3 linked regions of the Pelodiscus sinensis genome follow. Each later gene encodes a partner of the first gene's protein in a complex. Links are inferred from orthologs where the notes say so. Each region holds a gene or a part of one and is shown on either strand. Other genes may lie near its edges.

Evidence for each region. The genes of interacting proteins can lie anywhere in the genome.
Region 2: TMEM216 (region 1) and B9D1 share a complex: the UniProt entries of both Homo sapiens proteins name them as parts of the tectonic-like complex. The link is inferred for Pelodiscus sinensis from reciprocal best matches to the Homo sapiens genes TMEM216 and B9D1.
Region 3: TMEM216 (region 1) and TMEM107 share a complex: the UniProt entries of both Homo sapiens proteins name them as parts of the tectonic-like complex. The link is inferred for Pelodiscus sinensis from reciprocal best matches to the Homo sapiens genes TMEM216 and TMEM107.

The regions. Positions count from the first base shown.
Region 1 is NC_134714.1:125,525,093-125,532,594, forward strand, and holds the start of TMEM216 (transmembrane protein 216), read left to right. Parts: upstream 1-4,408; 5' UTR 4,409-4,543; coding exon 4,544-4,556; intron 4,557-5,081; exon of another isoform or gene 5,082-5,189; coding exon 5,190-5,291; intron 5,292-6,074; coding exon 6,075-6,167; intron 6,168-6,532; exon of another isoform or gene 6,533-6,533; coding exon 6,534-6,735; exon of another isoform or gene 6,736-7,197; coding exon 7,198-7,213; 3' UTR 7,214-7,502. Other genes in the region: TMEM138 (transmembrane protein 138), read left to right, coding at 478-553, 881-993. UniProt on the Homo sapiens protein: Part of the tectonic-like complex which is required for tissue-specific ciliogenesis and may regulate ciliary membrane composition.
Region 2 is NC_134726.1:34,662,335-34,669,441, reverse strand, and holds the start of B9D1 (B9 domain-containing protein 1), read left to right. Parts: upstream 1-4,101; 5' UTR 4,102-4,196; coding exon 4,197-4,262; intron 4,263-7,107. UniProt on the Homo sapiens protein: Component of the tectonic-like complex, a complex localized at the transition zone of primary cilia and acting as a barrier that prevents diffusion of transmembrane proteins between the cilia and plasma membranes.
Region 3 is NC_134734.1:10,821,030-10,829,064, forward strand, and holds the start of TMEM107 (transmembrane protein 107), read left to right. Parts: upstream 1-5,029; 5' UTR 5,030-5,154; intron 5,155-6,613; exon of another isoform or gene 6,614-6,617; 5' UTR 6,618-6,659; coding exon 6,660-6,746; intron 6,747-7,802; coding exon 7,803-7,870; intron 7,871-8,035. UniProt on the Homo sapiens protein: Plays a role in cilia formation and embryonic patterning. Requires for normal Sonic hedgehog (Shh) signaling in the neural tube and acts in combination with GLI2 and GLI3 to pattern ventral and intermediate neuronal cell types.

The DNA.
Region 1 (7,502 bases):
AGCAGGATTTAAGAGGATTTTCTAGGATCTGTGTTGGGAGGCTCGACTAGGTCTTGGTGTTCTGTATAAATCCGCTGATCTGATTAACCTTTGTGTGCTCCCGGAGCTGCTCCCTGGCACTTGCATCCCTGCTTGTAGGGAGGTGGAAGGAGGCCTCTGTATGCCTGGGCCCCAGGGATGGGCTCAGAGGGGGGTTGTTCTTGGTGGGCAGGGTTGCTTTAGACTAGGAAGTGGACCACAGTGACAGTGCATTTCTCCCCCATGGCCACTAGGGGAAGCCCTCTAACCCTTTGGACATAGGGAGCTGCTTCCCATTAAGGATCTGGAGGAAATGACAGAATGGAGCAGCCCCTGGGAGAGAGGAGCAAGGAAGTGGGTAAAGGGACCCAGTGTGCTGAGCTCTGTGGGGGGCTGCACAGTTGCTCTCACATCTGTTTCCTGCCCTTAATGTCCGTTGTGCCCCTCTATCTCTTTCAGAACCTGCGCTGGAAAAACTCCACCCGCTTTGTGTGGACAGATGGGCTGCAGGCCCTCTTTGTGTTCCAGCGGCTGGGTAAGAGACAAGCTCCGCTCTGGACCCTTCAACTCCCCCAAGCAACCACCCACAGACACCTAGACTCAGGGAGAGCTACCAGAAAGCTGGCCCCATCTGCCTTCCCTGCTGTCTCCCAGGCTGGGATCTGGGGTTTGTTAAGGAATGGCATCTCTGTTCCCCTGAGCCGTACCAAACCCTTCCCATGGGGGCTGGATCTCGATGAGGCTCTGCCTGCCCTGGTGGTCAGCAAGACACACTGGGGTGATCCAGCAGACAGAGGAGGGGGTAGGGGTGAAGACATTCTGAACGGGTTGAGCTGTCTCATCTTCCTCTTGCTTTCCCCAGCGGCCGTGCTGTACTGCTACTTCTACAAGAGGACGGCCTTGCACCTGGGTGACCCCCGCTTCTACCAGGACTCCCTATGGCTGCGCAAGGAGTTTGCTCACATCCGCAGCTGATGGCTTCCCCTCGGACCCAGAGCCATGGCCGGTCCGTGGCTGCTCCCTGTTGGCTGGCACAAAGCCCCCTTTCCTCTTTATCCAGAACAGTCCACCCCCAGCCCTACACACAGCTTGCTTGCCGGCTGACCAATGGGGTCCTGTTGGTATCAACCCCTTTCAGCTCTGCTTTGCATATCTGGTGGGATGAGGTGCCAGGACTCAGCCTGCCCTAGCTGTACCTGTGGGAACTCTATCCTGGTGGTAGAACTTCCTTTTGTACCTGCGTATTTTTATAAGTTATGAGACAGTAAATTGGCTCCCTTTTCCAGAAACCTCCTTGTGTGTTTGCATTTTTTGGGTGCACCCTCCTTTCCCCAGGCCCTGTACTGTACTGAGGGCATATGCCCCACTATGCTCCCCCTCGCTCCAGCATTATTGTGTCCTAGCCCACATTGCAGCTAATTCTACTGGGGACAGGAGCCCAGTGGCCAGGACACCCTCCCTGCAGCTGCTGAGCTGCCTGTGGTGTTTAGTCATTCCCCAGTCATGGATCAGAGCCCTGCAGAGCTAGGCACTATAGTAACACAGAACAAAGATGGTCACCGCCCCAAAAGAGCTGACAATCTAAGCAGAAGACAATAAGATCATACCCTGTCACCCTGACTAGCAGTATGTGTGCCATCTGCACAGTAGGTGTTACTGCATGGGTTGATTTCCTCTGCCATTCTGCATCTGAAGGATGCAGAGCCTTAGTAAAGGCCAGGGCAGAGGTGTGGACTGGGAATGGCACTGTAACATACAGCCCATGTATCCCATGCTACTCAGTCTTGGAAGCATGGGTGGTGAGTTATATGGGTACATGGAGTCTGGGCACTAGGAATGTTCCTGGGTCTTGTCCCTGATCCCACCTGCCATCTCTGTGGACCTCCCCTGAAGCATTCCCCAGTCCAACCTGCAGCCCTTGGGCAATTTAAAACTGCCCCCCCATCACCACTACCAGTGGCAGTGCAGCAGGGCTACAGTGGCTTCTGGCCACTTGTTCCATGTGGCTGCTGGCACATGCGGCTCCACAGAGGGGAGGTGTCTCTGTACACTGCCCCCTTCCTGTGTGGTCCATGGGAAGCTGCCGGGATGGTACTGCCAGAGAGGAGTGCCCCTGGTAAGCACTGCACCCCAACCCCTCCCTCTGCACTCCTCCTTTGCCCCACCCCCTCCCCAGTCTTTTCTCCCACCGCCACTACTCCCTCCAACTCCCAGACTACTCCTTCCTGCATTCTCCCTTCCAGCCCAGAGCCTGTACGCAAGCACACAGACTCCTGCCCAAAGCCTGCAGCCCAGATACTCTTCCACACTCAGAGCACAACCCCTCACCTCCCTCCTAAAGCATGCATGTCCTGCACCTCATTCCCTTGCACCCAACACTCAAACTCCCTCCCAGAGCCTTAGGCTGGTGGGGAAGTGACTTTGGGCTGGGGAGGGGTGCGGGCATTGTGGACATCTGCAAAATTGCTGCCCTGCTTGGCAGGGCAAGAACATGGAGCACTTGCTAGCCTAACGAGCTCAGATTAGAAATAAGCTCAGGTTCCCTTTAGGTTGCCAATGCACTGTGTTTTCAGCACTGTTTTATTTCCAAGTTGCCTATTCCCGAGGAGAAAGGGCCTGGGTAGCAGAGGGAGTACAGCTCAGGAGTTAGAAATAAATATCATAATGAAGAACCATGTTATTTCCTTTCTCCAGACAGGCTGTGGGGCTGCACTGCATGGGGGGAAGTGGAGAGGACTGTTGGACGATGACCCCATTATGCTGCCTGGGGAGAAGGAAGGGGGGGTCACTGGCAATGTTCCCTCTTTTTTTTTTTTCATCCATATGCAGAATACATTTTGTTAAGTGTCTCCACCAGTAGAAACACATGTGCACCACCAGTAGAAACACATGCTGCTGACTGGGTGCTCTGCTAATTAGCTGGGTGGCACCTGATTTTCAGCTTACAGGGAACACTGGACTGGTGAGCAATGGGTATTACACCAATGGAGGAGTAGGGTTGGGATGCTGAAGGAGGGGGCAGGGACTCATCAGAAGCTGTGCCAGTGGTACTGTAGTCACCAGCCTTGCTGTTTGGCAATTGATGGGAAATCAGGGTTCATATGGGACAATGAAGGGAGTGTGTACCATGTAATGCCCCCAATATTAGCCATGAGCCCCCAGATCAGAGGAAGAGCCAATGGTAGTGTTAACTCTTTGATAGGCTCATAGAACTGGAAGGAACCTGGAAAGATCTAGTCCAACCCCCTGCACTCACAGAAGGACCAACCACCATCTAGAACAGGAGTGGGAACCTTTTTTGGGTCAGGGGCTGCAGACCCACAGAAAAATCAGTTGGGGGCTGCACACAAGTGAGAAGGAAAAAAAACCTAAGATGCAGAAAGACACTTCACTTTCCCCTGTGTCTTGGTGGCCAGATCCAAGCAAGCTGGGGGCTGCATCTGGTCCCTGGCCTTAGGTTCCCCACCCCTGATAGATGCCCTTCCAAACCGCTCTTAAATATCCCCAGTGATGAAGCTTCCACAACCTCCCTAGGCAACTTACTCCAGTGTTTAACCACCCTGACAGGAAGTTTTTCCAAATGTCCAACCTAAATCTCCCTTGCTGCAATTGAAGCCCATTGCTTCTTGTCCTATCCTCAGAGGCCAAGGAGAACAATTTTTCTCCCTTCTCCTGCTAACACCCTTTCAGGTACTTGAAAACTGCTACTGTAGCCCACCCAGCTAGGCTATGTCTACACTGGCAGGTTCTTGTGCAAGAATCTGCAGAGCATCCACACTGCCCACCCTCTCTTGTGCAAGAAGATTTACAGTACAGCGTAGTGAGAGAGGGCTTCTTGCGCAAGAGCTATGCTCTTTTTTAACAGGTGTAAGCCCTCTTGCGCAAGAGGGCAGTGTGGACGCTCGGCAGGGGTTTCTTGCACAAGAAAATGGCCACTGGAGCTTTCTTGCACAAGAGAGCATCCACACTGCCATGGGCGCTCTTGCGCAAAAGCACCGCTCGCACATGGCAGTGGGGATGTTTTCTTGAGCAAGACTTCTTGCACAAGAACCCTTGCACAAGATGTTCTTGTGCAAGAAGCTGCGAGTGTAGCCCTAGCCCTAGTGTGGTTCGCTGTCCCAGGTAGTGGCACTTGGACCACTGGCAGGGAGAGATGAGAACAAGGGAGCTCCACAGCCTCAGCTGGGTTTGCAGCTCAGGGCTCCAGGTCCAGGTCCCCATAGGGGGGGGGAGCTACATGCTCATGTTGGGGAGCACAGCGCCCCAGCTCCTGCAGCCAGAGGGCGGGGTAGGGCACGAGACACCCCCTCCCCCTTTAAACCAGCACTGGGGGCGGAGTCTTCGCTCGCCTCGGGCTGAGCTCGCGGCGCGGCGCCCGGCGGGTCCTCCAGCACCATAGAGCGGCGGGGCTGAGCCGGACGGAGCGGCGCAGGGCACCGGCCGCTCTGGCCCCCGCACTTCCGCTTCGCCGGCCCGCGTACCCGGAAGCGATGTCGCTGGGTGACAGTTTCCATGGCGATGGAAGATGGCGCTCAGAAGTAAGTGCCGGGCTGGGGGAGAGGAGCGGGGGCGGTTACGGATTCCTCCCCCCTCCCCCTCCCCCTCCCCCTTCCCTCAGGAGCCTTCACCGAGCGCGGGGGGGGGCGGCGCCACGTGACCCTCATTCATGTGGGAAAGGCACGTGACCTCCCCATCTCCCACCCTCGGGGCGGTCCGTCCCCCTCCCCCTCCGCTAGCTGGGGCGCCACGTGACCCCACGTCCCTGCTCTCCCTGGGGCTGCCACATGCCCCTCCTCCGGGGGGGGGGGCAGGGCGGTGTCACGTGAGCCCCATCGGAGGGGGGTGGCCTTTGACCTTTCCTGGGGGGGGAGGGGCGCATGTGTCCCAACCCCGGCACCATGGGGGGGGGCACCTGCCTCCCCTTGCCCCACCCCATGCACGGAGCCAGCGCAGGGGTCAGGCCAAGGAGTGGGAGGGCTCAGGGCAGGAGATGGGGGAGCTGGGGGCTGGGCTGCTCCAAGGGCACTGGGGCGACACTCACTCACTTTCACCTTTGGCGTTAGCGCAGTTCAGGGTCTTCTGGCTTCCTCTGCCCATTTTGGGAGAAGACTGAGGCCAGCAGACTTGTCTGGGGAGTGGCACCTTGCCCACTCATGCTGTTCATCCCCCAGGCCGTCAGCTCTCCTCCACCCCGCTGGAAATCCTGCTCTTCCTTAATGGGTGGTATTACGCCACTTACTTCCTCCTGGAGATCTTCATATTTGTCTATAAAGGTGAGTTCCCTCGGCTGCCATCTCAGATCACCAGGGCCATGGAACTGCCTTTAGCAGCAGGGGCTGCTGTCTGGGCTGTGGCATCAGGTATCCCAGGACAAGCCCAGGGGAGTGTCATTTGACTTAAACGCTTTGGCCAGCCCCACTCCCTCGCAGGGCTGCATCTGATGCAGGGTAGGGTTGTAATAGTACAGTAAATTAACCAATAAGCAAAAGCTTATAGGTTAATACTACAGACTACATGCATTTTCTGCCCCTTGCCAGTAAATGTTTTAGCAGGCTGGCCAGCAGCCTGGCTCAGTCCTGGCTTGCACTGGGTCCGGGACCTACCCCCTTCTGGCTCTGCATTTAAAACGTATTAGATGCCAGGCAGCCCGGCTCAGTTCTGTATCAGAGGCAGCAGTACAACGTGGCAGGCAGTTCCCACCTGGCAACCTATGCTGCTGCCTCTGATAGAGACACAGCAGCGTGTGGTAGCAGGGGGCTCCTCGGGAGTGGGGCCAGAGTGCACTGGCTGCCAGCCCCAGCCTGGAGACTATAGAATAGTTGACTAACCGATAGGAACTCATGAGGTTAATCGACTATTTGGTTAACAAATATTTAACAACCCTAGTACAAGGAGGTGTAAAAAGAAGTCATTAACATTTTACTGGGCAAGGACTGGGACCTTTAGATGAGCCTGTCTGTGTCCTTGCTGGACCTCTCTAGGGCTGTCCATGAGACTTGCGGGAAAGTTTGAGGGTCTTGTGCTCCTCCTGAAACAGGTGACTTTTGTGTCCTTAGGGCTGCTGTTACCATACCCCTCTGCCAACCTAGCCCTGGATCTGGTCATGCTCTTCCTCTATCTCGGCATTGAAGTCACCCGGATATTTTTTGGTGAGTGCCTAGGACTAATGGCCAGCTCTGGAACAGCAAGGCAAGTTGCCCAGGCTGGTACCCTGAGTTCAGTGGACTGCCAAGCAGTCAGTACAACTCCCTTTTGTTCACAACTTGGAGATGGATCAGTGCCTAGAACTGGAGAGCTCTTTGCCTGAGCCAGCCAGCCCCCTCGCCCAGACCAGATTGGAGCCAGATCCCTGGAAAGGAAATGCCCTTGTCCCATTCCCAGCCCCCTGCCTGGGGTTGAATTGGAGCCTGTTCCCTAAAGGGGAGAGGGCTGTGTAAACCATTCCCCAGCACTCTGCATGCATGGATGCCTGCAGGGTGGGGAGCGGTTGCCTCACACACTGTGCCATGTGGCAGGCTCCAAAGGGAACTTGTGCCAGCGGAAGGTGCCGCTCTCCATCAGCCTGGCCTTGACATTCCCGGCAGCGGTGATGGCAGCCTATTACCTGCTGCTGCAGACCTACGCCCTGCGGCTGGAGGCCATCCTCAACGCCATCCTGCTGCTCTTCTATGCCGTCGAACTGCTCCTGGGCATCCTCACCCTGGCCTCCTTCTCCAGGTACCCCTCCCCTGCTGCCTCCTGCCTTGGGAGGCAGTGGAAGATTGAGTGGCAGAGAGAGGGGCTGGAGTGCACAAACTGGCTGGGAGGGAGACTGGATCTCAGGGTGAAAACAAGCTCTGGGGCTGGAGCGGGCATAAATAGGGGATGGGCAAAGTGGGGAGAGAAAATGGTGCTGACACCCAAGACAGGCAGTTCCTGTATGTGCCTAGGGATCAGGACTTCTGGGTGCCATTCCCGATTGCCCCTGCTTGTTTCCTCACCTGCATGCCTCTCCTCTGATGGGCTGCCTCTCCCCAGGATGAGGACAGATTCTTGAGAGAGAGAAGCCAGTGGGGTGACAGGACTGCCCAGGGTTGTGAGGGAAGCTCCCCTTAGCCAGAGCCCAGTTCAGGGTGAGGTTGGAAGCTACCACAGGTTTGCTAGTGATGGCCAGGCTCATTGCTGTTTATCTCCCTCTAGGGTGGACTCGTACTGAGGCTTGTTCCAGGCCAGACAAGGCTACACATTGCCTGGGGCCGGAGGCCACACATTCGCTCCCTACATGGCTGGTCTGATGGCAGCCTCTCAGTCCTTTGGCGTTAGATCCAGCTGCAGCCTCATTCTGCATCAGCCCCGGCCAGGCAGAGAGCCACCGCCGGGGTGCCCAGCGGCTTGGAAAGAGACTTTAATTCACTTCCCAGACCTGGTACCATGTGAAGCAGCCATTCCTTGTGCCCAGGCACCACCCCTATCTGGGGCCATGCCGAGGGGGACAGAAGGGAGGC
Region 2 (7,107 bases), on another chromosome or scaffold:
CAATATTTCCATCTTTAAAACTTTGTGAGTGCATTTGTGAATGTTTTATACAGGGCTGAACATGTCTTACTGTCACAGGTAGGGTTGCCAGATGGTTTCAACAAAAATACCGGACACACTTAACATTACATCACAATCTATGTTATCAAGGCTTGACAAATGGCGGTGAAATCTACTCGCCAGCCCCGCAATGTGCATGCGCAAGACCCGCATTGTGCAGGCACATGCTGCTAGTGAACGGGGTGACCGGCTGAAATCTACTTGTCACAGGTGAGTAGAAACAGCGATTTGTCAAGCCCTGTATATTACATCTTATTTAGAAAATACCGGACATTAATATTTTCTTATTTATATTTTCTCAATTTGCTTCCCGAACAGAAAGCTCAAATACTGGACTGTCCGGGTCAAAACCGGACACCTGGCAACCCTAGTCACACGGTCTTTCCTGAAGTGCCCAGCAGCAGAAAACGGTGTACAGATGAAGAATTTAGCCTCTTCCTCTCACCTGTGATTTTTGGAGAAGAGGGAAGGCCAGGAACATAAGAACTGTTATACAGCATCAGCTCCGCTGCAAACCTCACCCAGTATTCTGCCTGGAACCGTGCACCAGTGCTCAAAGCTTCAGAACAAAATGCAAGAAACCCTGCCATGGATGATTATGGAATAAATCTCTTCCTAGACCCATGGACATTGGCTGTCTACTACATTATTGGAATTTTCCCAAATAGCGGAAGGGGGATAGAAAACAACTGCAGTTTATGAGATATAAAAATCAAAGTGTGGGTCAGCTAGAGGTCAGTGATTTTAAAATCAGATCATGCCCCTCATACCCTTAGGTTTGCATTTCACACTTGCATGGGGAAACTCTGACATCTAGTGGCCTCTAAGGGTGTGTCTCGACTACAGGTTTTTTTTTTTTTTAAAGTAGCTTTTCGAAAAAACTTCATCTGCATCTAGACTGCAGCCGCATTCCTTCGAAAGTAAATCAAAAGAATGCGGTAGTTTTTTTTCAATTGCGGTAAACCGCAGTATATGAGGTATAACGCCTTTTTTTGAAGTATTTTTTCGAAAAAAGGCGCTATTGAATGCAAACTGTGCTTTTTCGAAAGAGAGCGTCTAGACTTTCTTTCGAAAAAGCGGCTCGCTTTTTTGAAAAATCTGCTTGTAGTCTAGACGCTCTCTTTCGAAAAAGGCTTGTAGTCTAGATGTAGCCTCAGGCTCATCACATGAGCATGGCTCTGCCAGCCCATCTGAGTGGACCCCCCGCCAGGTTTGCACAGTCCACGCTACCTGGACTTCACTGCTGTTGTTATTCAAGCTAGCTCGATCAAAGCTAGCTCAGGTATGTATGTGTACATAGACTGCAATCACACCTCTGATGGCAGCATCCATATATTCTACTCGGTGCTATGGAAATCATTTGGAGGAGGTCCCTGCTGATCGGAATTTTCCATGGCATAGAAGCACTGCACCAGAGTCAAAGATGAAGGACAGAGACTACAAAGTTCATGGAACACAAGGCCCGGACCATGTTAGAGTAGTTGGCATAGTGTAGTGTATGGATCCTGGGTGCAGAATCCCCCGATGCAGTTGTACAGCTCCCAGTGGGGCCTCTAAAAAAGAAAAAACTGACTCCATTTCACATTTTATCAAAACTGGTTGATAAATATAGGAAATATTGGGGGGGAAAGATTCTCTCTAAAAATAACAAGCAGTCCTGTGGCACCTAAGCCCTGGTCTACATGGGGAGTTATTTCAAAATTACTCCCCTTATTTTGAAATAATAAGCGGTGCATCCACACGACCAAACCCGTTATTTCGAAATAATAACTCCTGCTTTTCACGAGGAAAAACGCTTCTTTCAAAATAGTTATTTCAAAATAATGGTACTTTGGATGCTCCACTGCTGCTATTTTGAAATAATTACTCCCCAGAGTAATTTTTAAGTAATTACTCCCCTGTAGGGAATAATTCTGGACACGCTGGATGCAGGTGAAAACAAGATGAGGATTTATTGTACACCAGCACTGGTGGAGTACCAACCAGGGGTTAACCTGGAGAGCACTAGTTAATGAAAATATTACATTGAATTATCTAGGCAGCAGGTGGGCGGAGTAGAAGCAATGTCATAGGTCCTAGCGGCAAGACATAATGAGCACATAAGCCAATAAACTACAAAGGTTAGACAGTATCTCCGCCCACCACCAATTAAACGTCTTATCAATGATACAGATAGTTATTCCTAACAAGCTAAATAAGCCAACATAAACAAAAGACATGTTGATGGCAACTTTGTTTGCTGTAATTAAGATTGTAGAATGATTACTGCTTCACCTTGGTGTGGTCCTTGGGATCCAGGTTTATCATCTAGAATTAAAGGAGACAGTGAGAACGACTTCCGTGAAGTTTGTTTTGGTACCGGCCAGGGTCTTATTGGAGCGAGGTCCTCTTGGAATGTGGTTGCCAAGGAAACCAGGGTCATGTTAGCTGCTTGTTCTGTGTTTCCAGGCCTTGCCTCAAATTTAGGATTTGAATGAGAGATCTTAGCAAGGTACCATGGACTGCTTCAGTTTACCCCTACATCCCCAGTGCTTCCTGGGGCTCCAAGTTGAGGTAGCACATCCACACAGAGGGAGCCTACCTTGGACTAATTTCAAGACTTCCCTGTAGGGTGGACACACTATTTCAAAATAAGTTATTTTGAAATAATTTCCTAGTGTAGCCATTTCAAGTAACACCCACTTCATTAGATGAGCTTGACTGGAGCATCTAAAGAAGTGGGTTTTACCCACAAAAGCTCATGATATTATATATTTATTAGTCTGTAAGGTGTCACAGGACTACTTGTTGTTTTTAAAGTTACAGACTAACACAGCTACCTCTCTGAGCCAAATATGACACGGCTACCTCTCTGTCAGATGTGACAAAAATATACACATCTGGCTACGCAAATACTCTTACTCTGTCCTTACCCTTCACTAATTGCTCATTATTGACAGGCGGGAAAAATTAAAAAACAATAACTGCCCTTGTACAATTAGTATTTTTACGAGTACGTTTGTTATCAGTCTCCTAAGGCAACTTTTCTGACTGTGCTTTCATAACTTATTTAAATAATTTCACTACCAAGAAAATTGGGGAAAATGTGAGGTCGGAGACAGGAGCATCATTAATCCTGCTACGGTCACACTTATATGGTACTCATCCTAGGAGTGATGTCATGTGTGGCATCTCTCGTGACTGGTAACAGCAGGAAGGCCACCATCTTTTGTTCACAGTCCAGCATGCTCAGTCATTGCTTCTGTTTGTCTTTGTTTCTGTAAGTGTGTGTGGGTTCTTTCTTCCTATGCTCTGTACATGTGTACAATGGTGTATTTTAGGGCGCATGCTGCTTTTTGGTTCATGCTTCACGTGATTGACTTTGAAAGTCACTGTCTCATGAATCTGGGTCAAATGGAAGGATACGTTTGTGTAATGGTGAAAACAGAAATTGTTTAAAAATAGAAGAAAATGCTTAAAAAGGAACATTAATCTTATGAAATAAACGAACGCAAATTCTGCCACGTCAGCTTGTAGCGTAGGGCTCACACTGGTGCCCTTTCCGTGCATTTGCAGTGGTGGTGTAGCCAGGGTGGAGACAGGATGTGAGAGACGGCACCCCACTTTCCCTGGGGAGGGCTCCCTCTCCTTTGGGGGCTGCCCCCCACTTCCCCTGGGGGGGCTCCCTCTCCTTTGGGGGCTGCACCCCATTTCCCCTGGGGGGGCTCCCTCTCCTTTGGGGGCTGCCCCCCACTTCCCCTGGGGGGGCTCCCTCTCCTTTGGGGGCTGCACCCCACTTCCCCTGGGGGGGGCTCCCTCTCCTTTGGGGGCTGCCCCCCACTTCCCCTGGGGGGGTTCCCTCTCCTTTGGGGGCTGCCCCCCACTTCCCCTGGGGGGGGCTCCCTCTCCTTTGGGGGCTGCCCCCCACTTCCCCTGGGGGGGCTCCCTCTCCTTGGGGGAGCTACTGAGCTGGGGGAGTCCCCTTCCCCTTCCTGGGGTGACGTGTCGGGGTTTTACCCCCGAGATTCCGCCCCGCCCCGCCCCGCCCCCCGCGCTGCGCTGGCAGGAAGTTTGTCCCGGCCGCCTCGCCGTCCGGTATCCAAGGCGGGCCGGGGAGAGCGGCCCCTAGCAACGGGCCGGGATCGGCCTCCGGCGCCATGGCAGCCGCCGGCGGCCCCACGGTCTTCCTGCTCATGGTGACCGGGCAGATCGAGAGCGCCCAGGTGAGCGAGTCCCCCCCGCCCCGCCCCGCCCCGGCTGGCGCCTGGGGGCCACGGTGAGGGGCGCGCTGGAGCAGCCTCGCTCCGGGCTCTCCAGCATGGATGGGGGAGCGTGGCCCTGTGCCCCCCCCGCACAGCCCCCCCCGGCTGAGAGCTCAGCCCCCCCCGCACAGCCCCCCCCCGGCTGAGAGCTCAGCCCCCCCCCCCGCACAGCCCCCCCCGGCTGAGAGCTCAGCCCCCCCCCGCACAGCCCCCCCCGGGCTGAGAGCTCAGCCCCCCCCCCCCGCACAGCCCCCCCCCCGGCTGAGAGCTCAGCCCCCCCCCCGCACAGCCCCCCCCCCCGGGCTGAGAGCTCAGCCCCCCCCCACCGCACCAGCCCCCCCCGGCTGAGAGCTCAGCCCCCCCCCCCGCACAGCCCCCCCCCGGCTGAGAGCTCAGCCCCCCCCCCCGCACAACCCCCCCCGGCTGAGAGCTCAGCCCCCCCCCGCACAGCCCCCCCCCCGGCTGAGAGCTCAGCCCCCCCCCCGCACAGCCCCCCCCCGGCTGAGAGCTCAGCCCCCCCCCCCGCACAGCCCCCCCCCCGGCTGAGAGCTCAGCCCCCCCCCCCGCACAGCCCCCCCCGGCTGAGAGCTCAGCGCCCCCCCGCACAGCCCCCCCCGGCTGAGAGCTCAGCGCCCCCCCCGCACAGCCCCCCCCCGGCTGAGAGCTCAGCGCCCCCCCGCACAGCCCCCCCCCCGGCTGAGAGCTCAGCCCCCCCCCGCACAGCCCCCCCCCCGGCTGAGAGCTCAGCCCCCCCCCCGCACAGCACCCCCCCGGCTGAGAGCTCAGCCCCCCCCCCCGCACAGCCCCCCCCCCGGCTGAGAGCTCAGCCCCCCCCCCGCACAGCACCCCCCCCCGGCTGAGAGCTCAGCCCCCCCCCCGACAGCCCCCCCCCCCGGCTGAGAGCTCAGCCCCCCCCCCCCGCACAGCCCCCCCCGGCTGAGAGCTCAGCCCCCCCCCCAGCACAGCCCCCCCCCGGCTGAGAGCTCAGCCCCCCCCCCCCGCACAGCCCCCCCCCCGGCTGAGAGCTCAGCCCCCCCCCCGCACAGCCCCCCCCCCGGCTGAGAGCTCAGCCCCCCCCCCCGCACAGCCCCCCCCCCGGCTGAGAGCTCAGCGCCCCCCCCCGCACAGCCCCCCCCCCCGGCTGAGAGCTCAGCGCCCCCCCGCACAGCCCCCCCCCGGCTGAGAGCTCAGCGCCCCCCCGCACAGCCCCCCCCGGCTGAGAGCTCAGCGCCCCCCCGCACAGCCCCCCCCCCGGCTGAGAGCTCAGCCCCCCCCCGCACAGCCCCCCCCCCGGCTGAGAGCTCAGCCCCCCCCCGCACAGCACCCCCCCGGCTGAGAGCTCAGCCCCCCCCCCCGCACAGCACCCCCCCCCGGCTGAGAGCTCAGCCCCCCCCCCGCACAGCCCCCCCCGGCTGAGAGCTCAGCCCCAGCCCTCCGCACAGCCCCCCCCGGCTGAGAGCACAGCCCCCCCCGGCTGAGAGCTCAGCCCCCCCCCCCGCACAGCCCCCCCGGCTGAGAGCTCAGCCCCCCCCCGCACAACCCCCCCCGGCTGAGAGCTCAGCCCCCCCCCGCACAGCCCCCCCCCCGGCTGAGAGCTCAGCCCCCCCCCCGCACAGCCCCCCCCGGCTGAGAGCTCAGCCCCCCCCCCGCACAGCCCCCCCCCGGCTGAGAGCTCAGCCCCCCCCCCGCACAGCCCCCCCCCCGGCTGAGAGCTCAGCCCCCCCCCGCACAGCCCCCCCCCCCGGCTGAGAGCTCAGCCCCCCCCCCCGCACAGCCCCCCCCCCGGCTGAGAGCTCAGCGCCCCCCCGCACAGCCCCCCCCCGGCTGAGAGCTCAGCGCCCCCCCGCACAGCCCCCCCCCCGGCTGAGAGCTCAGCGCCCCCCCCGCACAGCCCCCCCCGGCTGAGAGCTCAGCGCCCCCCCGCACAGCCCCCCCCCCCCGGCTGAGAGCTCAGCCCCCCCCCGCACAGCACCCCCCCGGCTGAGAGCTCAGCCCCCCCCCCGCACAGCCCCCCCCCCGGCTGAGAGCTCAGCCCCCCCCCGCACAGCACCCCCCCCCGGCTGAGAGCTCAGCCCCCCCCCCGCACAGCCCCCCCCGGCTGAGAGCTCAGCCCCAGCCCTCCGCACAGCCCCCCCCGGCTGAGAGCACAGCCCCCCCCGGCTGAGAGCTCAGCGCCCCCCCGCACAGCCCCCCCCCCGGCTGAGAGCTCAGCCCCCCCCCGCACAGCCCCCCTCCCGGCTGAGATCTCAGCCCCCCCCGCACAGCCCCCCTCCCGGCTGAGAGCTCAGCGCCCCCCGCACAGCCCCCCCCCGGCTGAGAGCTCAGCGCCCCCCCGCACAGCCCCCCCCGGCTGAGAGCTCAGCCCCCCCCCGCACAGCCCCCCCCCGGCTGAGAGCTCAGCCCCCCCCCGCACAGCCCCCCCCCGGCTGAGAGCTCAGCCCCCCCCCGCACAGCCCCCCCTCCCGGCTGAGAGCTCAGCGCCCCCCCCGCACAGCCCCCCCCCCGGCTGAGAGCTCAGCCCCCCCCCGCACAGCCCCCCCCGGCTGAGAGCTCAGCCCCCCCCCCGCACAGCCCCCCCCCCGGCTGAGAGCTCAGCCCCAGCCCCCCGCACAGCCCCCCCCCGGCTGAGAGCTCAGCCCCCCCCCGCACAGCCCCCCCCCGGCTGAGAGCTCAGCCCCCCCCCGCACAGCCCCCCCCCCCCGGCTGAGAGCTCAGCGCCCCCCCCGCACAGCCCCCCCCCCCCGGCTGAGAGCTCAGCCCCCCCCCCGCACAGCTCCCCCCGGCTGAGAGCTCAGCCTCAGCCCCC
Region 3 (8,035 bases), on another chromosome or scaffold:
TCAAGTGGGTGGAGTTTATTTGGTGGGAGGACGTTGGAAGAGAATTATCAGGGATGCCTGTGCCATGGCAGCTTTTGGGCCAATACCCCTCCTCGTCCAGCCCACATGCTGTCCCAAAGACTGTGCTGAGTGAGAGGGGAATCAGTGTCTCTGATGACCTTGGAGGGACTCTAGAGTCACTCTGGAGTAAGCGAGAGGGAAATTAGTACTTCTGACACCAGCAGAGTGACTCCTGATTCACATGGAGGATCGGTGCCCAAGCCCTGGTAGGGGGCTGGCAGCACATGGCTCTCTGTGCCATGATGGTAGAGTTTGCTCCAGGTCAGATGATGCCAATGCAGCTCAGTCTTGCAGTTATCAATTCCAGCCTGCAGCTACAGACCCATCCTAACCAGGTCGGCCTCATCTCTGGAGCACCTAAATCCTGGCCTGTCGGCAGGATTCCTCCACAACTGGGAGGGTTTGTTAGGTGGAAGGAGAATCAGAGAGTGACTCCTGAACGCTGACCACCCAAGGCCTGTGCCTCTGAACATCAGGGGATGCAATCACCAGCTCCTCGCTGCGACTTGGGGTTCACTCCCCCGGCCCCAGAATTGACCCATACGCAGCCTACTGTGTCACCCACCTGTCCAGCTCATAGATGCCTGCTTGGCATTTCATCTAGGGATGTTAAGGATTCGTCAACTAGTCGCTCCCTCTCTTGCTGCTTCTATCAGAGGAGGAGAGAAGGGGGGAGGGTACTTCAAAGCGGCAGTGCCGCCCTATCGACTAATCAAATAGTCCATGCAAAAATGCATCAACTATTCGATTAGTCATTTACACAATACTTAACATCCTTAATTTTGCCCAGAAAATACCCCTAGGGTTTTTTTACACTACAACGTTAATTCAAACTAACTTAGTTCGAATTAGTTAATTCGAACTAAGCTAATTTGAACTAACGGATCCAGACTAAAAAACTAGTTCGAATTAGCATTTTGCTAATTCAAACTAGCATGTCCACATTTAGTGGACTCTGAACCGGGCTTAAGGATGGCCGGAAGCAGTGCCGGCAGGGCATCAGAGAAGAACTTAGAGCGTGGAGATGCTGTCTCAGGCTAGCTGAGGGCTGTGCTTAAAGGGTCCCGACCCCCACCCCGGACAGACAGTTCTCAGGGGTGCCCCGCTTGCAAAGCAGTCCTGGCTTGGATTGCCTGGACTACCCACACTGGGCACATCACAGCACTCAGCCATCAGCCCGGCTGCACTTGCCGCAGGCTGCCATCTGGGGAGAGGGGGCAATTGGGGGGCTGCAGGAGAGCTTCCACCCCCAGAAGCCCGCAGAGCCAGCCCAGTCCTCCCTCACCTCCTTCCACTTACCCTTCCCTAGCCCCTTTTCTTGATGTACAAAATAAAGATAACATGTCTTCCAAAATGGAATCTGTCTTTATTGAACAAAACAGGGGGAGACTGGGAAAAGGAGGTGGGAGAGGGGAAGAGAGAGGCTGGGAGAGGGGAGGGCAACTAAAATGATCAGGGGTTGGGAACAGGTCCCATATGAAGAGAGGCTAAAGAGACTGGGACTTTTCAGCTTAGAAAAGAGGAGACGGAGGGGGGACAGGATAGAAGTCTCTAAAAGCATGAGTGGGGTGGAGAGGGTGCATACAGAAAAGTTCTTCATTAGCTCCCATAAAGAAGGACTAGAGGACATCAAAGGAAAGGAATGGGCAGCAGGCTTCAAACTAGTAACAGAAAGTTCTTCTTCACAAAGCAAAGAGTCAACCTGTGGAACTCCTTGCTGCAGGAGGCTGTGAAGGCTAGAACTAGAACAGAGTTTAATGGGAAGTGAGATCAAGTCATGGAGGCTGGGTCCATGGAGTGGTATTAGCCAGGGGGTAGGAGTGGTGTCCCTGCCCAAGGTTTGTGGAAGGCTGGAGAGGGATGGCACGAGACAAATGGCTTGATCACTGTCTTCGGTCCATCCCCTCCAGGGTCCCTAGGGTTGGCCGCTGTCGGCAGACAGGCTACTGAGCTAGATGGACCTTTGGTCTGACCCAGTACGGCCATTGTAAGCTCAGGGTCGGGGGTCTCACTGGACCCCCTTGATTCTCTTGCACACCTGCTCCTGGGTGGCCAGGCTGGCAGCTCTCCTGCCCTAGCTGGCCACTTTCCTGTGCCTAGTGCGGAGATCGAGGACGAGGTCCACGATGTCTGCACTAGCCCAGGTGGGTGTTCCCCTCTTGCGGTCCCGGGCAAGCTCCCGGGAGCCGCCAGCCTGGTCCCGGGAAGAGGGGGAGGGCTGGGGGGCATCGGGTGGATGGCTCGATCCATGCCAGGTGCAGGGTCTGCTGGCTGGGTGCTGGCAGGCTTGCACCTGGCACGGGCACCGTAGCCAGCCCGTACCCCTTTAAGGGGTCCAGGGCCGGGAGGGGGGCAGACGAGTTTCCCTGGTGTTGGCCAGAGTGGCCACCAGGAAAAGCTGGGGAGGGCTAGCCTCCCACTAGTTCGAATTAAGGGGCTACATACCCCTTAATTCGAACTAGCTAGTTCGAACTAGGCTTAATCCTCGTAAAATGAGGTTTTCCTAGTTCGAACTATGCGCTCCGCTAGTTCGAATTAAATTCAAACTAACGGAGCACTAGTGTAGCGCCTATGAAATTTAGTTCGAACTAACGTCCGTTAGTTCGAACTAACTTTGTAGTGTAGACATACCCTCCGTCAGCAAGATCTCCATGTCTCGTCTCTCCCAGCAAAAGCACCAATCACTACAAACAGGATTTGAACCTGCTAAGGGAGATCTCAGGGGATTTCAAATTCAGTGCGTTAACCAATCAGCCATCACAGCTACCTAAAAAGCATAATCTCTGCAGTCTGCTGCAGAGAGTCTATTCTATGTGGTTGTGATGAGGTGCTGTGGTTCAGGGTTCTTGTTTTCTAAGCAAGAACATGGGGGAAGGAAAGGGGAGTAGGTAAATCAAAGGGCATTGCGGGGGAGTACATAGACAGATAGGGTGGGAATGTAGAGAGATTCTGTTCCTTAATATTTACTATACAAAAGCATAAATAGATGAAAAATATTTTTTTAGATTTCCGCCCTCTGCCTGTAATCTCAAGACTCAATCATTCTTCTTATGCAGTCAGTGAGGAGCAATTGCTGATGTGTGGCTTTGTATGTTGATTGGAGGATAGCTGGTTTGAAATTATCTTGACCTTTGCTGATCGGAGGGAGCATGGGTGTAAGTCAATTTGTCCAATGCTGATTGAAGGCGGCATGGGTTTAAATAATTTTCCCCTTGCTGATTGGCAGGAAAAAAGATTTAACTTGTTGTTGACTGCCAGATGTTTGGATATAAATACTTGGGCTGTGGCTAGATTGACATGATTTTCCGGAAATGCTTTTAACGGAAAAGTTTTCCGTTAAAAGCATTTTAGGAAAAGAGCATCTAGATTGGCACGGACGCTTTTCCGCAAAAGCACTTTTTGAGGAAAAGTGTCCGTGCCAATCTAGACGCGCTTTTCCGCAAAAAAGCCCCGATCGCCATTTTCGCGAACGGGGCTTTTCTGCGGAAAACAAATCTGAGCTGTCTACACTGGCTCTTTTGCGCAAAAGTTTTGCGCAAAAGGACTTTTGCCTGAATGGGAGCAGCATAGTATTTCCGCAAGAAGCACTGATTTCTTACAGTAGTAAGTCAGTACTTTTGCGGAAATTCAAGTGGCCAGTGTAGACAGCTGGCAAGTTTTTCCAGAAAAGCGGCTGATTTTCCGGAAAAACTGGCCAGTCTAGACACAGCCTTGGAGGGAGTCCAGCAGAGGGCAACAAAAATGATGAGGGGGCTGGAGCATATGACTTATGAGGAGAGGCTTAGGAATTTGGGCTTATTTAGTCTACATCAGTGGTTCCCAACCTTTTTGAGCCCATCCACAGAGGATATGGAGAGAGGGATCTCCTGGCCAAAGCAGCTCCTGCCCTGGCATTCCTCCTGTGGCAGGGCATGGAGCCCTGGGGGAGAAAAAAAAGAAAAGGAAAAGAAAAGAAAGTGAGGATTGGGCCCCACTGTGGGAGTGGGACTGGGAGTGGGGAGAGGGCTGGAGTGTAAATGGCAGTGTAGCTGGTGGCTGGAGGACAGATTGTGCCTCCTGAGGTATCAAAATCCAGTCTCAAGGGCGGGAGGCAGAGTGTGCGTGACTGCTTATGAACAGTGAGCCCTGGGCAATAATGGCCTGGTGGAAAGTCCCAGTCCTGTGGTGGGCCTGTTCTTTTCTTTTCCTAAACTTTCCACAGATCCCCTACAGTACTGGCATGGACACCTAGGGGTCTGCAGACCACAGGTTGGGAACCACTGGTCTGTAGAAGAGAAGAGTGAGGGGGGATTTGATAGCAACTGTCACCTTCCTGAAGGGAGGTTCCAAAGAGGATGGAGAGAGGCTGTTCTCAGTAGTGAGGGATGGCAGAACAAGGAGCAATGGTCTCAAGTTGTGGTGGGAGAGGTCCAGGTTGGACATTAGGAAAAACTATTTCCCTAGGGAGGGGGTGCAATCTCCATCCTTAGAGGTGTTTATGTCCCAGCTTGACAAAGCCCTGGCTGGGATGGTTTAGTTTGGGTTGGTGCTGCTGTGGGCAGGGGCGGGACTCGATGCCTCCCTGAGGTCTCTTCCAGCCCTGGGAGTCTGTTAAACCATTTTGCCCCTTGCTGACTGACAGATACCTGGGTATAAACCGTTTTGTTGCATGTTGATTGGAGGATACCTGGGTATAAATCGTTCCCACTGTCCCTGGATCCTTTCTTTACCGAAACCATTTTTCAGCCTGCCGCAGGGAAGGGCTTCCCAGGGTAACACCCCCAGCTAGAGGCTGAAATAACAAAAAAAAAAACTGGAGATGCCGGGGATTGAACCCGGGGCCTCATACATGCAAAGCATGCGCTCTACCACTGAGCTACATCCCCTACATGGAAACGGTTCCTCCCACAGAGGAACTTCATAGGGCCGCTGCCCTCTTCCTGACCTCAAACAAGATGGCGATTTAGGACTCGTCCTCGCCGTCAGACGGGAAGTTCTCGCGACATCTCCACCCAGCGCGCAGGCGCGCCTCTCTCTATGGGGCGAGGCCAAGGGATGCACGTAGAGGCGGTTGCCTCGGGCAACGTGGGGGCCTAAGCGGGATCACGGCCGCGGGTGGGAGCGCTGAGGGTTCTTTTCTATGAGAGGGGGAGTCCCACGGCGGAGGGTTCCATGGGGGGGAAGAGTGCGGGGAGGAGAGTTCCATGGGGGGAAGAGTGCGGGGGGGGGTTCCATGAGGGGGAAGAGTGCGGGGAGGAGAGTTCCATGGGGGGGAAGAGTGCGGGGGGAGGAGAGTTCCATGGGGGGAAGAGTGCGGGGGGAGGAGGGTTCCATGGGGGGAAGAGTGCGGGGGGGGGGTTCCATGGGGGGAAGAGTGCGGGGGGGGGTTCCATGGGGGGGAAGAGTGCGGGGAGGAGAGTTCCATGGGGGGAAGAGTGCGGGGGGGGGGGTTCCATGGGGGGAAGAGTGCGGGGGGGGGTTCCATGGGGGGGAAGAGTGCGGGGAGGAGAGTTCCATGGGGGGAAGAGTGCGGGGAGGAGAGTTCCATGGGGGGGAAGAGTGCGGGGAGGAGAGTTCCATGGGGGGAAGAGTGCGGGGGGGGGTTCCATGGGGGGAAGAGTGCGGGGGGAGGTTCCATGGGGGGGAAGAGTGCGGGGAGGAGAGTTCCATGGGGGGAAGAGTGCGGGGGGGGGGGTTCCATGGGGGGGAAGAGTGCGGGGGGGGTTCCATGGGGGGGAAGAGTGCGGGGAGGAGAGTTCCATGGGGGGAAGAGTGCGGGGGGGGGTTCCATGGGGGGAAGAGTGCGGGGGGGGGGTTCCATGGGGGGGAAGAGTGCGGGGAGGAGAGTTCCATGGGGGGAAGAGTGCGGGGGGGGTTCCATGGGGGGGAAGAGTGCGGGGAGGAGAGTTCCATGGGGGGAAGAGTGCGGGGGGGGGTTCCATGGGGGGAAGAGTGCGGGGGGAGGTTCCATGGGGGGGAAGAGTGCGGGGGGGGTTCCATGGGGGGGAAGAGTGCGGGGAGGAGAGTTCCATGGGGGGAAGAGTGCGGGGGGGGGGGTTCCATGGGGGGAAGAGTGCGGGGGGGTGTTCCATGGGGGGGAAGAGTGCGGGGAGGAGAGTTCCATGGGGGGAAGAGTGCGGGGAGGGGTTCCATGGGGGGGAAGAGTGCGGGGGGGGGGCTTCCATGGGGGGAAGAGTGCGGGGGGAGGTTCCATGGGGGGGAAGAGTGCGGGGGGGGGGGTTCCACAGGAGGGGGCAATGGAGAAGGAGGTCTCAAGGGGATGGGGGTGCAGATGGTGATGCAGAGATGATGATGGGGGGGTAGGGCAATAGATATGGGAGGTATTGGGGGGGGACTTCATGAGGGAGGGGAGATGTCACCACGCAGTGAGGATGGGGTGAAATGGGGTGCGCCACAGGGAGGCAGCGATGGAGATGGAAAAGGAGCTGGGGTGGTGGAGGAGTGATGGACATGGGGCTCTACTGGGGAGATGATGGGGAAACTCCTCAGAAATATGGTGGGGGGCCTAGTGCTTCCTTTGGTCTCCCCAGTCTGACACCTTTGCTCCCCCCAGTCAGACCTGCCCAGAGGACCCTGACCACGTGAGGGACACGGGCCATATGGCGCTGGTCAGCGGGCTGGTGCCTGCCCGCTTCCTGACCCTCACAGCTCATCTTGTCATCGTCATCACCATCTTCTGGTCCCGGGTAAGAAACCCTGACTGCGCATCCCCCTGTGATCCCCACAACATACACCCTGCACACCCACCTGTGCACCCAGACAATACACACCTATGTGACATCCACCACGTACACCAACACAGCACGCCTGCCTGTCCACGCCAATAACGCACACCGATCTGATGCTTGTGGTGTGCACCCTTATAGAATGACTGCCCGCTCACCCCAAGCATATCCACCCTTCTCATGTTCAGCTGTATCACATGTCCATTCTGAAGGTGCATATCCATCTGATAACCATGCCTATGATGTACTGTACACCCATACAGCATGCCAACTTTGATGCCACACTAACGAATGATGCCTGTAATGCACGCGAAGCCCAACAACGCGCATAACAACAACCATATCTACAGCATACACAGATACAACAAACCCACCCTTACCACGCCTATGACTACAACATGCAACATGCCTGGCCCAGTGATACGCATCCGTGCAACACCCATCCATACCATGCACACCTGTATGACATGCTGTATGCTGTCCTGGCAACACCCGCCTGCCACTATGAGGCACAAATCTGCGACACATTTATAGCTTTCCCAACACACGCACCCCCTCTCCCAGTTTACACAGTCCTCCAACATGCATCCTTGCAGGGCTCCCATCTCACCCATCCAGCATCCTCTTCTCATTCCTCCCCCCCTCCCCCCCCCACACACATACAGTCACTTTCCACAGGTGAGAAGAGCATACAGTGCATGGGCCGCAGGAACCAGGGAGGGGTTGTGGCTGTAGGGAAGTGGGTAGCAACAAGCTGGATCAGGACTCCTGGGTTCAGCCCTTGCTGTGGCAAGGAGGTAGAGGCTAAGGGTGGTTGGGAACTGAGACACCTGGGTTCTTTCTCCAGCTCTGGGAGGGGAATATGAGCTGGTGGGTTAAGGACTCTTGGATTCTTGTCTGCTCCACTGGTGTGCTTTCCCTTGCATTTGCTGTGTTCTTCCTACATCTCCCATGCTGAATTGTATGCTCAGGACGCTGCACCCTGCAGGGCTGACCTCACTGCCTCCTATCTTCCAGGACAACAATGTCCGTGCCTCACTGCCCCTGCAGTACAGCCAGCAGCAGTATGAGCGCCAGGACGTGGAGTGAGTCAGTCAGCCAGGGACCGGGTGTGCCAGAGGTCAACTGGCCTGGCCTGGCAGGGCTTGGGGCCTATCGGGGGGCACCTGGGAGGGGGGGACAGGAAAATGGGCCAGGAAGGGCATGAGGGAGAATATGCTGGGATGGCAGGAATGGGCCCAAAGAGTGGA